Tamandua tetradactyla: one gene and its partner. The protein of the gene in region 1 purifies or fractionates together with the protein of each later gene. This does not show direct contact. Links are inferred from orthologs where the notes say so. Each region holds a gene or a part of one and is shown in the gene's direction. Other genes may lie near its edges.

What was found. The genes of interacting proteins can lie anywhere in the genome.
Region 2: the proteins of TGFBR1 (region 1) and SMAD7 purify together in Homo sapiens (affinity purification with western blotting; 19 studies listed by BioGRID). This does not show direct contact. The link is inferred for Tamandua tetradactyla from reciprocal best matches to the Homo sapiens genes TGFBR1 and SMAD7.

What each region holds. Positions count from the first base shown.
Region 1 is NC_135328.1:16,291,526-16,298,809, forward strand, and holds the start of TGFBR1 (TGF-beta receptor type-1), read left to right. Parts: upstream 1-4,284; 5' UTR 4,285-4,318; coding exon 4,319-4,403; intron 4,404-7,284. UniProt on the Homo sapiens protein: Transmembrane serine/threonine kinase forming with the TGF-beta type II serine/threonine kinase receptor, TGFBR2, the non-promiscuous receptor for the TGF-beta cytokines TGFB1, TGFB2 and TGFB3.
Region 2 is NC_135344.1:34,120,457-34,127,334, forward strand, and holds the start of SMAD7 (mothers against decapentaplegic homolog 7), read left to right. Parts: upstream 1-3,869; 5' UTR 3,870-4,018; coding exon 4,019-4,622; intron 4,623-5,956; coding exon 5,957-6,010; intron 6,011-6,878. UniProt on the Homo sapiens protein: Antagonist of signaling by TGF-beta (transforming growth factor) type 1 receptor superfamily members; has been shown to inhibit TGF-beta (Transforming growth factor) and activin signaling by associating with their receptors thus preventing SMAD2 access.

The sequences.
Region 1 (7,284 bases):
AATTCTAAATTTTTTATTTTGGATGGGTCTGTCACTAATATGGGGTAGGGAAATGGAATCATCTGATGTTCTGGAGGGGCTGGGCCCTCTAGGTTTCAGGACTTATCTGGTCCAGGGAACCATCTGGAGGTATTAGGTTTCTGGAAAGTTACTCTAGTGCCTGGAACCCTTGTGGAATCTTATAAATTGCCCTAGGTGTTCTTCAGGATTGGCTGGAACAGTCTTGGTTGGGGGTTGGCAGGTTATCATAGGTAGCAAGGTCTACCCGAAGCTTGTGTAAGAGCCACCTCCAGAGTAGCCTTTCAACTCTATTTGAACTCTCTCTGCCTCTGATACTTTACTAATTACAATTCTTTCCCCCCATTTGGTCAGGAAGGAATAGTTGATCCCACGGTGCCAGGGCTGGATTCATCCCCGGGAGTCATCTCCCATGTCGCTAGGGAGACCTTCACCCCTGGATGTCATGTCCCACGTAGGAGGAAGGGTTATGATTTCACTTTCAGAGTTGGGCTTAGAGAGAGTGAGGCCACATCTGAGCAACAAAAGAGGTCCTCCAGAAGTAACTCTTACGCATACCTATAGGTAGGCTAAGCTTCTCCGCTATCTACATAAGCTTCATAAGAGTAAGCCTCAGGATAACTATAAAGTTTTGAGATGGTTTGTTATACAGTTAAGAGAACCATCAGTTATCAAGAGCTAACAATTGTATAAATCAGTAATATAAGTTAAAAAAATAATACAGAAATAAAATAGACAAAATAGTTAGGATGGGCATATGTATAGAACTGCAGCATTCTAAAATTTTTTTAAAGTTTATTTTTCTCACACATTAAGATGCCCATGGGTTAGCATTTAAGTGCTGGTACAGTTGCTCAAGAGACTTATCAAGGACCCAGAATCTCTCCATCTTTATTCTCTACCATTGCGAACTATGACTGCCATCCTTATATTTGCAAAGTGGTTGCTGCACCTCCAGGTATTGCAGCTGTATTCTAGGCAGAAAGAAGGTGAGAATGCAATGAGTCTTTTTTTTTTTTTTTAACGAGGAAAAGAGAATCATTCCCCAAAATACCCTCTGGTAGACTTCTGCTTATATTTCGCTGTCCAGAATGCCACTAGGAAGCCTGGGAAATTGAGACTTTTTAGCTAGGTTAACTGCTTTCCCAAAGGAAATCAGAGTTCTCTTATAAAGAGAATGGAGGAATGGATATGGGTTAGGCAACTGGCAGTCTCTGCTCTGGATTTGGGGGAAAACATCTTAAGGAATAATGCAAAAGGAAAGGCAAACAGTGTACTCAGCATGAAGACTGAGGGGTAGCATTGTGCAGGGATAAGATACTGGAGTAAGAATCTCGTTAGTCCTAGTTACACAGCTGACTTACTGGGGGACTGGTTCTCAGTTTCTCCCCCTTTAAATCAAGACATTGGTGTAGACAACCTGTAGGCCCACTGAAGAGGGTATGGAGACTATGGAGGTAGTTGGCATTTATGATTGACTCCTTATTGCAATAGTGCATTTAGATCTCACAACAAATATGTAAGTAGGTGTCACCCCATTTTACACTAGAGGATGCTAAATCAAAGAGAGATTAAGTAGTGTGCACCGATTCTCACACCTAGTAAGTGACAGTCAGAATTCCAACTAAGGTCTGCAAGACCTCAAAGCCAGAGGCTCCTTTCCACTGCCCATCCTTTCTCAAAAGGTGTAATAAGCTCATCTGTTTTTATTTACTGAATTTTATGGTCACACTTTCCAAAAGAGTGTCTTTCAAAGTGTGGCCTGACCATCTGTAGTAGAATCATCGGGTATGCTTTTTACATATGCAGATTCCTGGAACTCCTTCCAGATCAACTGAAGAAGATTCCCAGACTGGTGGGGGTGGGGGGCATGGGGGATTGACAAGATACAGGAATCTGCATTTTTAAAAACTCCTCGGGTAATCTGGAGACACTTTAAAGCTTGAGAGCTGCCACTTTTAACCTAAAATATATTATTCCATTTTAATGTAGTCTATTTATGGATCTGTGGCTCATGGTACTTTTTTCTTAATATCAGGAAAATCATGTTTTAAAATAGCCTGTTCTTCCTTCCCACTCCTCACTTTCCTGTTGGACTCAGTCAGTTCAATGGAAATACTAAGGAATCAGAGGTATGTCGTGGAAGATGCCCTATCTGAGGCTCTGTAAAGCAAAGGCAGGGGTTAACATGAGCAAAAATCCTGATGAGAATTATACAAAACCGGAAAGGGGATGGGCAAAGGAAATGGCATTAACTAAATATTTATTATGTTCCAGACGCTGTTGCAGACACATTACATCATTTAAGAGACACATGACATGTGATTCAATCCTTTCCATTCGCAAAAAAACTTATTATCCCCATTTTAGAGATGGGGAACCTAAGGGTCAGAGAACAGTCACTTGTCTGAGGTCAATCATTCATTCACTCATTCAAACAATAAACATTTCTTGAGCCCTCTTCTTATGAAGACCCTGAGAAGAACTGCAGTGAGAAGGCAGCCTAGGGACCTCAGGTGTCACAGAACCTGACTTACCCATGAAGTCTCCAATGAAAAAACTGGAATTGAGGGAGCAGGCTGGGGCTGGAGGCTGCCAGAAGCTGTTTCTCCGGCTTGGTCCCCCTGCTGGCAGCCGTGGAGCTCAGCAGCAGCTGCATGCCTGAGTAGGTGGTTTGAAGGATACCTGTCCCTTACCTGGCCGGGGGGTGTGGTCTAGAGTGGAGGAGCAGGTGAAGGGTCTGGAGGAAGGGTCTAGAACTGGCACCTAAAGGAGGATGGGGGAACTCCCAAATCTCATCAAATCTTCTCAGTAACCTTGGGAGGTAGATATTATTTCCAATTTATGGACGAGACACAAAAGCTCAGAAAGGTTAAATGACCTGGCCAGGGAAGTGCCCAGATCCTGCTCCAACACCCCCACCCCTCCCGCTCTGCAGCTCACTGAAGGAAGTCTTTACAGGCCCGGGAAAGGCTCACAGAGTGGCTCTAAAGTAATTTATAAATCGATCGTCCAAGCTGCTGCGGATTCCTGCTACCAACGTTTATTTAATTGCAGGCTCAAATCACACAGAAAATAAAATTTTCTCCTTAAAAGGTTCTGCGGGAAAATGTTCTCTGTTCTATGTAACAGCCTCTTTTGACTGTGTTTGGGTCTGAAGAAAGGACTAGTCTGACAGGAAGAATTACAAATCTGGAGCTCATTTTGGCGTCCCAGTGGGAAGGTGGGTGGAGCGCCTCACTGCAAATTTAGGAATTCAGAATGAAAACGTAGTTGAGTTGATTCGGGTTTTTAGTGACACCTCGAAATTACCGTGCAGGCGTGTTAGAGGCAGCTCAGGATACCCTGACTGCTCTCCCTCCGCCCCGTGGGAGATGGGTGCAGAGAAGGGGAATGTTCCTTCTTTGGGGGTGCAACGTGGGGAGCGGGGGGCTTCCCTTTCCAACCTGGATCAGAAAGTGGGGAGGGGGAAGGAGGGTGGTTTGAAGCCCAGCTCTGGGTCTCTGGGTCTCCTCCTTGTTCCAGGGGGAGGTGGGAGGCTATTTGGGAATGTATCTGAGTTCGGGATCAGGGGTCTGAGGCCAGGATTTGGGGACTTTCTGAGCTTGGAATTTGAGGGGGGTGGTCGGTGCTAGATTGAGGGTGAGCGCTAACAGGAGGAAACAGTGGGACCAAGTCGCCGATGAAGGGCACTGAAGAAGGATTTTGGTATGGGATGGTGTCGGCAGTTGAGGAGTGGAACTGGGCTGGGGGAGCTGAAGCCTGGCTGCAGGGGGTGTCGGGGGTCGGCGTGCAGGGTGTGAATGGAGGTCCGGGTGGGGTCGGGGTCAGGACCAGCTCTGTGCTGCCGCTTACCCAGGGGACTAGAAGCAATGAGTGTCGTGAGGGGCACGGCCTTTCCCGAGAGCGGCTCACACACAGACACACCAGTCCAGGATGGAGCCGGCTAGACGCGGCCCCCACATAGCTCCCCCTCTGGCGGCCCAGACCCAGGGAGCGCTGGGGGCGTGGCCAGCGACCTGGAGCCTGTCGCTCCGGATTGGTGTCCCATGGGCCCGTAGGCGGGGCTCCGGACCGGGCCACGCTCGCCGCTGGCCGAGAGCAGGGAGGGCGGGGCCGGCTGGAGCACGGCAGCCAATGGGAGCGCGGCCCCGGAGCAACTCCAAAAGGCCGAGCGCGGCGGCGGCGGCGGCGGGAGGTGGGGCGAGGCGCTGCTGGCTGTAGCAAGGCGGCGGCGGCCGGGCGGGGCCGGGCCTCAGGCGGCGGCGGTGGCGGCAGCGGCGGCGGCAGCAGCGGGACCATGGAAGCGGCGGCCGCTTCTGCGCGTCCCCGGCTGCTCCTCCTCGTGCTGGTGGCGGCGGCGATGCTGGTCCGGGGGGCGACGGGTGAGCAGCGAGGCGCGCGGGCCGGGCCTCTGGCTCGCTCCATCTCTTTCTCAAACATGGCGCGGGGCCGGGGGCGCAGGTGGCGGCGCCGGGGCCGGGCCACGGCCAGGGCGGGGCGCTGGGCCGGGGCGGGTGGACGCGCCGGGCCGCGGGAAGCTGCCCCCGCTGCGGGCTCCGCGGGCGGCGCCGTCCGGGGTCCGGGGCTGCCTTCCTGGGGTCGGGGCCACCGGGCCGGCCGAGCAGGGCTACCCCCTCGCCGCGCCGGCGCCCTCGGCGTCCTGGTCCCGGGACCCTCGCTCCTCGCGGGTAGATGCCCGCAGCCCCCAGGCCCGGGGCGGGGTCGGACAGGAGCCCCGGAGGCGGGGTGGGGCGGTCGAGTTCTGAACCCAGAGGGCCTCCTCCAGCTGTGGGAGGGGGCGTGGTGCGGCTGCGAACCCCGGGTCAGCCGGGCCGACCCCGCCGAGGGGGGCGGCTTCTCCAGCCGGGGGTGGCTTTGGAAACGGAGCTGCGAAGCTTTGTGTGGCGAGGAGCAGGCCCGGGATGCGCGGAATGTCTGCTCTCGGTGCGGCTGCAAAGGTTTTAGCGAATCCAGTGACCAGACGGCCGCTGATCGTTTCCGTTGTAGAAACTTGAACGTTTGCTCACTCTGCGCGGTTTGGAAGGCTTGAATGAGAATTACTCTGTGAATTGAGCGAATGCTTTTATTTCCTCGAAGAAGAATGTTTGCTAGTGATGGTCCTTATCCTTGGTGACAGGCAGTAGTTTGCAGCAGTCATCCGTGTAGTTGGTTTACAAGGGAGAACGCCTGCTCGCTTTCCCAAAATACTAAATCGGGATGGGGTATAGGTGGTCATCTACTCCGGTAAGGAGTGAAAAACTTCGTATTAGCAACAGAATTAAAATACTGGACACTAAAATATAGGGGCTTAGTGCTAGCAGCTAATATACAGTGAAAGTATGACACCAAATGTTAGGAAAGAAAACAAACGACAATTTAAAAACTTAATTGAAGACCGAGGGTGACAGTTATTATTAGCTCTGATAGCTACTGTCTGTTAAGAGCTGACTGTGCTGTGGATGCAGAGTACACCAAAGCACGTTATCTCATCCTCACAACTAAACCCTCAGGACTAGTGGCGTTTGCCTTATTTTATAGCTGAGAAAACTGAAGCACAGAGAAGGCTAGATTAAGGATTTGCACCCAGGACTCTCTGTTTCCAAAGATAGACCAAAAAGGCACAGCCTATTTTGTTCCAGTCATCTGATGAACACTTGCTCCTTATTATTGAGATTTTGGCCTCACCATTTACATTTCAGTTTGACTTTGTTGTCATTCCTTTCACACTGGGAGTGTGTTCGAGGAAACTGGATTTTTGACATTGGTGTTAGGAGGGGAGCAAGATAACTGGATGGGGAGAGAAGCAGTTTAGTTCCACATCCAGTTTAAATAACATTTCCGTACCACTGTTAACTCTTTTCCACTTATCCTGGCACCTAGCTCTGCGGGGAGCGTTCATGTGCTCACATAGCAGCATCAGGCGCGTTGAATGTACAGAGCAAGCATTGCTCAGTGCATGCCCGGGAGGGGCTTGCACAGTACACTGGTTTGCGGTGTAGAAAGCTAATCCAGATGCTTATGACTCCAAGCCCAGACTTCTTGAACTGGTCCACCTGCCTGGAATGGTTATATTGATATTTCAGCTCAACCTTTTCGTACATGCTGAAGAAGTTAAGCTCAAATGCTTTTTTAAAAAAAATTTTTATGATTTGTCTGCCTTACTCAAGAGCTTGCCATTGTTCCTTATAGTCTGGGTATCAGTTTTATATTTCTCTAAAACAGCCTCTGCTCTCTCCAACATGAATTTCTCTAGAAAAATTGGTTCCCTGTCCCTAGTACACAGTTTAGTACCACAATGTCCACATCTATAGCCCATAGGAGAATACTAGTTGCTTCCTTTTTGCCATCTCTTCCCTTTACCTTGGAAAACATACCTCAAACGCAAGTTTTCTTTATATTAATACCTATTGAATATGTATCTTTCTTTCTTTGTGTGGGTCACCTTAGTCCTTTGTATCAGCTAAGTCCTGCCCATTATCCCTCACATTTGAATTGCTTCCCACTCTTTCTCTGTCTTGTCTTTTCTGTGGGCTACTTCCAAACTCATCTTCCTCCGCCGTTCCCAAAAGGGCTTTACAAGATTTCCCGTTTGTGCTCAGCACTTAGAGCACACGATGGAGGCTGACGTTAGGGCTATCTCCAAATCGCCAGCCAGAAGTCTCACTTCTCACTGCAGCAGCCCCTCAGTTCCAGTGATTTCTGTCTTCCCGCTGACTCCTTACTGTTTAGCCTTTACACTGCATATTTAATTTTGCTCCTTTTCGGGAGTGGGAGTAGGAAGGTTCTCAGTTTTGACTTCCTGTATTCTTTATCTGCTTGAACTGTGTAGGACTTACAGTTGGTGTTGTCTGTTTCTACCCTCTTGCACTGTTATTCCGTATATTTTACATACCCAGAGGGTGAGGATCATGTCTTTTATTTCCTTTATGCCCTCAGAACCTAGTACTGTTTTGTATTCTGTTCCACTTCAGTGTTTGTTGATTAAATGAATTCCATTTGATTGACTGTTCTTTAGTACTTACTGCGTTTAGTATTCTTACTGTTATATGTGAGTGCAGTTTATGTAGTATTAGTTTGTAGTTCCATGTATTTAATCTGGGAAAGTTGACCAGTGAAAAAAGCAATTGGTTACCACATTTATATTTCGTACTTTGCCTAATTCATAACACTGTGAAGATGAAATGAGAAAGAGTTTGTGATTTGGTATTGTTAGTATTGTAATAGGCAGCACTGATGCTCAACCATTGATCCACTCTGCCATAT
Region 2 (6,878 bases), on another chromosome or scaffold:
CACAATTACACTATATGGGAACATAGCTCTGCAAGTTTATGCATGTTCCACGCAGACAAGCTGTGACGTCAGATTCAACTACAGAAACACCTACTACCGGCCCTGTGTGCACTTGGGCCACTACTCATCAGGGCCTTAGCACCACTGACCAGGTTTCCAAAAGATTCTGAAGAGTCTCTGTTTAGTCAAGACACTTAATTACAATGTACGACAGTTGCTCTCTCTGTTTATTTAAGTTCTTCCTGTCATTTTCCCACCCAGTCTAGCCCCTCTCAAAAAGCAAATATCTTCCAGGAAGGTCCAGAGGTGAGAGAGGGGATGGGACCCCAAGAGGACAGGAAACTTGCCCAGAAAGTTCTCCAACCCCAGCCAGCTGCCCTCCTCCCAGGAGATTCATTAGTAGTGCACGTTGCTTTACTTGCAGGAATCAGGTTTTCTGACTTCTGCTCTAGTCTCTTTCTAAGCCTTTCTCAGGTAAGTAGGTTAGACATTTCCCAGACAACTCAAAAATCCCATTTCTGTCTCTTCTGGTTTTAGGTGTGTATGTTGATGGGATCACCCCATGCAAAACTCCTCCTTCTCCATTTCCTCCAGGACTTTCTTGGCTGCTGTCTTTTAGAGGATGCTTTTTTAGAAAGTTTTACACACCACCCAGTTTTCAATGACCTTTTCGATAAGTAACTTTTTTTTAAGCAGAAGTATGATTTTATACAATTGCACCCTAGGAAGCCTTATAAAATAAATGTGTAGAGTGACAGCTTCTGCCACTTCCTATAGGTTTCCACACTGCTTGGCATCTGCTGTCTTCTAGGTTAGTAAGCTTCAGGCCCTCCTTGCCTGAGATGACCTTGTAACCAATGTTGCTGATCCCCTCTCACTTACGTTTCCAAAGGTGTGTTTTTGGGGAGAGGAGAAAGTGGCCCAAATGCCCCTAAAAGTCCTACCCAAGTCCTACCTAAGCGTGATTCTTAAATATTTTTTAAGCATCTATTCCACATCAGACACCTTTAAAGGTGCTGGAGGGGACTCCGGGAGCCTGCAATTATAAAGTTGTCTAAAATTAAGCTGAACCTTTTAAGAATTTATAATCTAGGTAGAGAGATGAAAATAGTACGTTTCACCTTTTCTAAAAATCACCGTTTGAGTTTCTTTGTTGTCCAGATCTCACAATTTGAAATGATGTTAAAAAAAATATGTCGTTGAATAAAATGCATGAGGTTAAATCGCCATGGCTACTGGAGGCCTTGCTGCGACTGATGTGTAGATATCTAAATCACTACGTTTCTTAGTATCATCACTCTGTGAATACATTCTGGGCTTTCACCCTAGCAATTCCTTACCCACTTCTGCGCAGAAACCTGTCTGCTAGGTGTATGCTTCTCCCAAGCCTGGGTCAGGGGATAAACTCTGACCCGAAGCATCTTGAGCACCTTGAAAGGTACAAGGCCCAGGGGGGCGCTGCAAAAGCCCGCATGCATACGCCATGCCCCAGGCAGGTCCGCTCCGAGGGTAACCTTCCCGCGCCAGGAGGTGGGGTAGCCAGGCTGCAGCATTCCCGGCCCTGGGCGAAACCTGCTGGCGGGGGGCGGGCGAGCTCCCGCTCTCTCCCTTCTCCCGCCACGACGCTGCCCCTCGCAGCTCGTCAGCCGGCCAAATGCATTCCAGAGCTGTGCACAAGACACATTTCTCCAGGCAGTCCCAGAAACCGGAGCCCGGAGCGGGAGAGGGTGGGAGGGAGCGCGCGGCCGCCGCTGAGGTCACACTCGCGCCGCCTCCCCGCCCTTGGCGGCCCGGCTGTTCCCTCCAGCACACACTTCCCAGGGCCTCGGTCCAGTTCGGTGTAAATGTCTTTTAAACGGAGGCAGCGCTCTCCTCCCCCTTCTCTCCGGCGCGGCCAAAGGGATCCACCGCCAGGGCCTTTAAAACAAAACGAATGAATGAAGGGCGAAGCTCGGCGGGCTGGGTCCACATCGAGCCACCCACCGGCTTGTTCCGCTCCAAAACTCGCCGGCGAAGCCAGCTCGGTGCTCCCGTTTTTTCGCGTTTCTCCTCCGCTCGTGCCAAATCGCAGTCGATTCTGGGAGCCTCTGCTCCCCACATTTCTCCCTCCCCCATTAGTCCCCGTTCGCAGACCAGAGAGGGGGTGGCGGTGGCGGGGGGTGGGGGGGTGAAATAGCTTTTAGAAACCCGATCTGTTGTTTGCGAAACACAATCGCTTTTTTTTTTTTAAAGCGACAGGGTGTCTAGACGGCCACGTGACGAGGCCGGAGCCGGGCGCGCCACTGCGCAGTGGAACCAGCCGAGCACAGGGCCGGGGGGGGGGGGGGGGGGGCGGGAGGCGGCGGCGGCTGGGGGCGGGGGAGGGAAGAGGGAGGGAAGGGGGCGGGGGCGGGAGGCCTAGCGGGAGGCGGCGAGCCCCGGGCACACTAGCTCTCTTCGCTCGACGCACGGAGGAGCCTGTCCCCGAGCCGCGCCAGCCGAGCCAGCCGGGCGCCGTGCTCCGTCTGCTTGCCGCGCGGGAGAGAGCTGCCCGAGACGGAGCCAGCCCGCCGGCGCCGAGCCCCTGAGCGTCCGACCTCGGAGATCCTGAGTGCGGCGCAGCGAGTCCCCAGCGGCGGCAGAAGGACCCGAGCGCCAGGAGAGGGCGGACGGGGGACAAGGAGGCTCCGGGGCGCGACGAGGAGAGCCTCGGAGGAGAAGGCGGCGAGAGGACCCCGGGGCCTCCTGCCGTCGCCGCCGGGTCGGGGCGAGCGGCCCATGCAGGGAGCCCCGGCTGGCAGCCGCTGCCAGAGGAGGGGGCGCCGGCGGCCCCCGCACTAGCGAGCAGCTTGCGCCCGGGAGGGCGAGAGCGCTCCGACCCGCCAGGAGCCCGCCGCCGCCGCGCCGCCCACCCCCGCGCTGTCAGCCCCGCGGGGCTCAGCGGCCGCCGCAGCATCTTCTGCCCCTGCGCCCCCGCCAGCCCCAAGGAAGTCCCCGCCGAGGACCCGGGCCCCGGGAGCGCAGAAGGAAAGACCAGAGACTTGCCTAAAATACCCAGATGCGGAGGATTGAAGCAACCAAGCCAAAGCTTTCTGTGGATTAAAAACATACATATATTTTCTTTCTGGGGGGAGCAGAAGAAAAGGAGAAGACCAGCGGGGCTCTGCAAGAAAAAAGGAGGGATGTAACTCGTGGATACGGTTTTCCACCCCTCAAACATCTTGTTCTACTTTGTAAATATTTTCTTTTTTTAAACCCCAGCTCCAGCCGGACGCCCCCAGACCTCCGGGGTGTGAGAAGGTTGTGTTTTCATTTTGGCTTTGCATATTTGGTTCTTAGGTTTTGAGAGAGCCTCCTTATTTCGCCAGACATCTCATGCGGGGTGAAGTCCACTCGGCCCCCTCCCCCGAGTCTTCGTGTGCACGGAATTCGAGGAGATCCGGTTACTAAGGATATAGAGGAAAAAAATAAATCGCGTGCCTGCTTTTTTTTTTTTTAATTGCCTGCTTCTCCCCACCCCCAAATTAAGTTGCTTAGCAAGGGGGAACGAGTCTTTTTCCTCTCTCCACCGGCACTGCCGAACGCCCTTCGTTTTTTGCCCCCGCGGGTCTTCCATGTAGGAAGCCGAGGCTGGCGAGCCCGACACTCGGGAGCCGCTGCGGGGGGGCGTCTTTTTGTGGCGGCGCGGAAGAGGGCAGGCTCGGCCGCCCCCAGGGGAGCGGCGGCCGCGTTTCTCCGGGGCGCGCCGGGGCCCGAGAGCCGCGCAGGGCCTGGGCCGCGCGGGGTGGGGCAGCCGGAGCGCAGGCCCCTGACCCCCGGCGGGCGCCCAGCGCACCCCGCGCGCGCCCCGGCCTCCGGGAGACTGGCGCATGCCACGGAGCGCCCCTCGGGCCGCCGCCGCTCCTGCCCGGGCCCCTGCTGCTGCTGCTGTCGCCTGCGCCTGCTGCCCCAACTCGGCGCCCGACTTCTTCATGGTGTGCGGAGGTCATGTTCGCTCCTTAGCCGGCAAACGACTTTTCTCCTCGCCTCCTCGCCCCGCATGTTCAGGACCAAACGATCTGCGCTCGTCCGGCGTCTCTGGAGGAGCCGTGCGCCCGGCGGCGAGGACGAGGAGGAGGGCGCGGGGGGAGGTGGAGGAGAGCCGCGGGGGGAAGGGGCGACGGACGGCCGGGCGCATGGGGCCGGCGGCAGCGCGGGCAGGGCTGGCTGCTGCCTGGGCAAGGCGGTCAGAGGTGCCAAAGGTCACCACCATCCCCACCCCCCAGCCTCGGGCGCCGGCGCGGCCGGGGGCGCCGAGGCGGATCTGAAGGCGCTCACGCACTCGGTGCTCAAGAAACTGAAGGAGCGGCAGCTGGAGCTGCTGCTCCAGGCGGTGGAGTCCCGCGGCGGTACCCGCACCGCGTGCCTCCTGCTGCCCGGCCGCCTGGACTGCAGGTTGGGTCCGGGGACACCCGCCGGCGCCCAGCCCGCGCAGTCGCCCTCGTCCTATTCGCTCCCCCTCCTGCTGTGCAAAGTGTTCAGGTGGCCGGATCTCAGGCATTCCTCGGAAGTCAAGAGGCTGTGTTGCTGTGAATCTTACGGGAAGATCAACCCCGAGCTGGTGTGCTGCAACCCCCATCACCTTAGCCGACTCTGCGAACTAGGTAAGAAGTTGTGCTGCCCCTACCCTCCTCACCTCCTCCGCGCCACCCACCATTGTCAACACTCCTGGGGGAAGTGTACATCCCTTCCTGGGAGGAGACTTGGGAAAAAAATGGAAAAGGGACGCGCGGGTGGAGGGGAGACTCGAGGGACATTCCCTGGGGGTTCCCTTCCAGTGTTTCTCGTCTGTTGCCCCCAAGGGGGCTGTGAGCACTGCTCTTGCACACACTGCACAGACATGCGGTTCAAAACTAGGCACCCTCATTTCCGGATCAGCCAGGGGATGCAGAGAAAAGGGAGGGGGCACGCCCCCGCCCCCCCCCCCCCGGAAAGGCGTTAGGATGTGTGGCCGAGTTGGATTTCGTCCAAGTCCTCCAAAGAAGGCTGGGAGAAGCAGGAGTTGTAAAGGATGGAAAAGCCTCCTGTCTTTTAGGAAATACGGACAGTCGCGGCAGGCACAAGTGGCTCAGATACGGCCCTGGTCGCACAGCTTTGGGGCTTTGGGGCGGGCCGAGAGGGTTAGGATGGGAGGCCGAACTTGATATCCACCTCAACTCGGCCAGCTCCAGAGTGAAAAGAAAAACGGTCCCGAGAAGTTACGTCTCCTCTACTTTTTCCTCCCAGCAGAGAAAAGCATAGAAGTGTGTGGAGAGCTGTGTGCCCCGGAGCCCCCCTGTCGTTGCTGCCCCTTAGCGCGCTGGGCCCTGAACTGGGCTTCGGGATTAAGACCCGTAGCCTGTCTCCTTTTATCTTCCCAGCCTCTTCCATCCCTTCCCTTTTCTCCAAGCCTGTGCTGGGGTGGGGGTGGGGTGAGGTGGGGTGCCCCGAGCCGGACTCTTGTAGACACCCCCGGCTCAAGTTCAACCAGGAAAGTTCGGGCCGGTAAAGGGGAACCCCGTGCCCTCCTCCGCAATCTCCCCCCTGGCGGGGGCCGAGCGGAGCGGCCGGGACCGGGATGAATCGCGCCCCTGGTGGGCAGGCCGGGGCGGGGAGCACTGAGATCGGAGTCTGGAGGCCGGGGGGTGGGGGGCTTGTCGCCCCCCGCCCGGTGAACTGTGAATTGCGCGGCCCGGGTCGAGTCGGTGGTTTCCAGCTCGGCCCGCCGAACGCGGCGGCGGCCCCGGCAGACGTGGAGGAGCGGAGCGCCGAGGCTGGCGCCAGGCGGCCTCTTTTGTTTATCTGACAGCTAAATATCAAGGCAATCACCGCCTCGCGGCCCAGCCTCCAACCCCCACAGCTAAGACAAACAGTTGGGCTTAAAGAATGCCTCTGTTATCATAAGTTTCTATCTTTCTCATGGCTCGGCCTTTATTTTCTCTTACTTTTTTAATTCCAGAGTCTCCCCCTCCTCCTTACTCCAGATACCCGATGGATTTTCTCAAACCAACTGGTGAGTAGAGGATTTTTAAAATATTCTTACTGTCTTTAGTTAAGAAGGAAGCCTCTAGAACCCAGGTTTTATTCCTAGGCCAGCGATCTGGGAAAGTGCTGGGCTTCCTTCCCAGCCTGTCGGTTTTCTCTATTGGAAGTTTGGTGGGTTTTTCCGAGTTTTTGTTGTGGCTGGATTTTTAAATTTATGGAGATGTTTCCTAGTTATGTTTATGTTCTATTCTTTTCTCATGTATTTGCCCTGCGTGGCGGAAGTTGGCTCAGCTTTAACACATGGAAGCTTTGGTCCACACAGAAATGTCTTAGGAGCCAAATAGGATAGGTTGGTGGGAAAATTCAAAGTCTTTGCTTTGTGAGTGCCAGGAGAATCCGTGGGAAGATTGGGCAAATAGAAGCAGGAGAAGGCAGTTTAAAAAGGTGCGGTGAAGACTGATTTGGAGGGAGATTTTTAGAAGATTTTAAAGACTTTTCCCCATCTCCAGTCACCTAGGAGTCAGCCTTCTCCGGCCTGGGGTTCTCTCAGAATTCTTGGTAGGGACCATAAAAGTTTTTAGCATAGCTCTGCCTGCCTGTTGCTTTGTCACCGGATGGCACCCAGCCAGGGCAGAAGCCCATTGGAGGCTGGCACCAACCTGCCAACCTGCTTGCGGTTGTCTGCATTCAACTTATGGCTGGCAGCAGGAGGGCTCACCCTATGTAGGGAACAGTGGAGTGGGAGAGGGTCAGCAAAGCTGGGACTTAGAGCTCCAGTTTCCTGGAGCTCCTTCTGACCGTGGGACATTTATTTGCTGAAAGCATGGATTATAACTTTCTTCTTTCCTTGTGCCTGTATAGTGGTGTCTGAAAAATGTAAAGCTTGTGACGTTTTA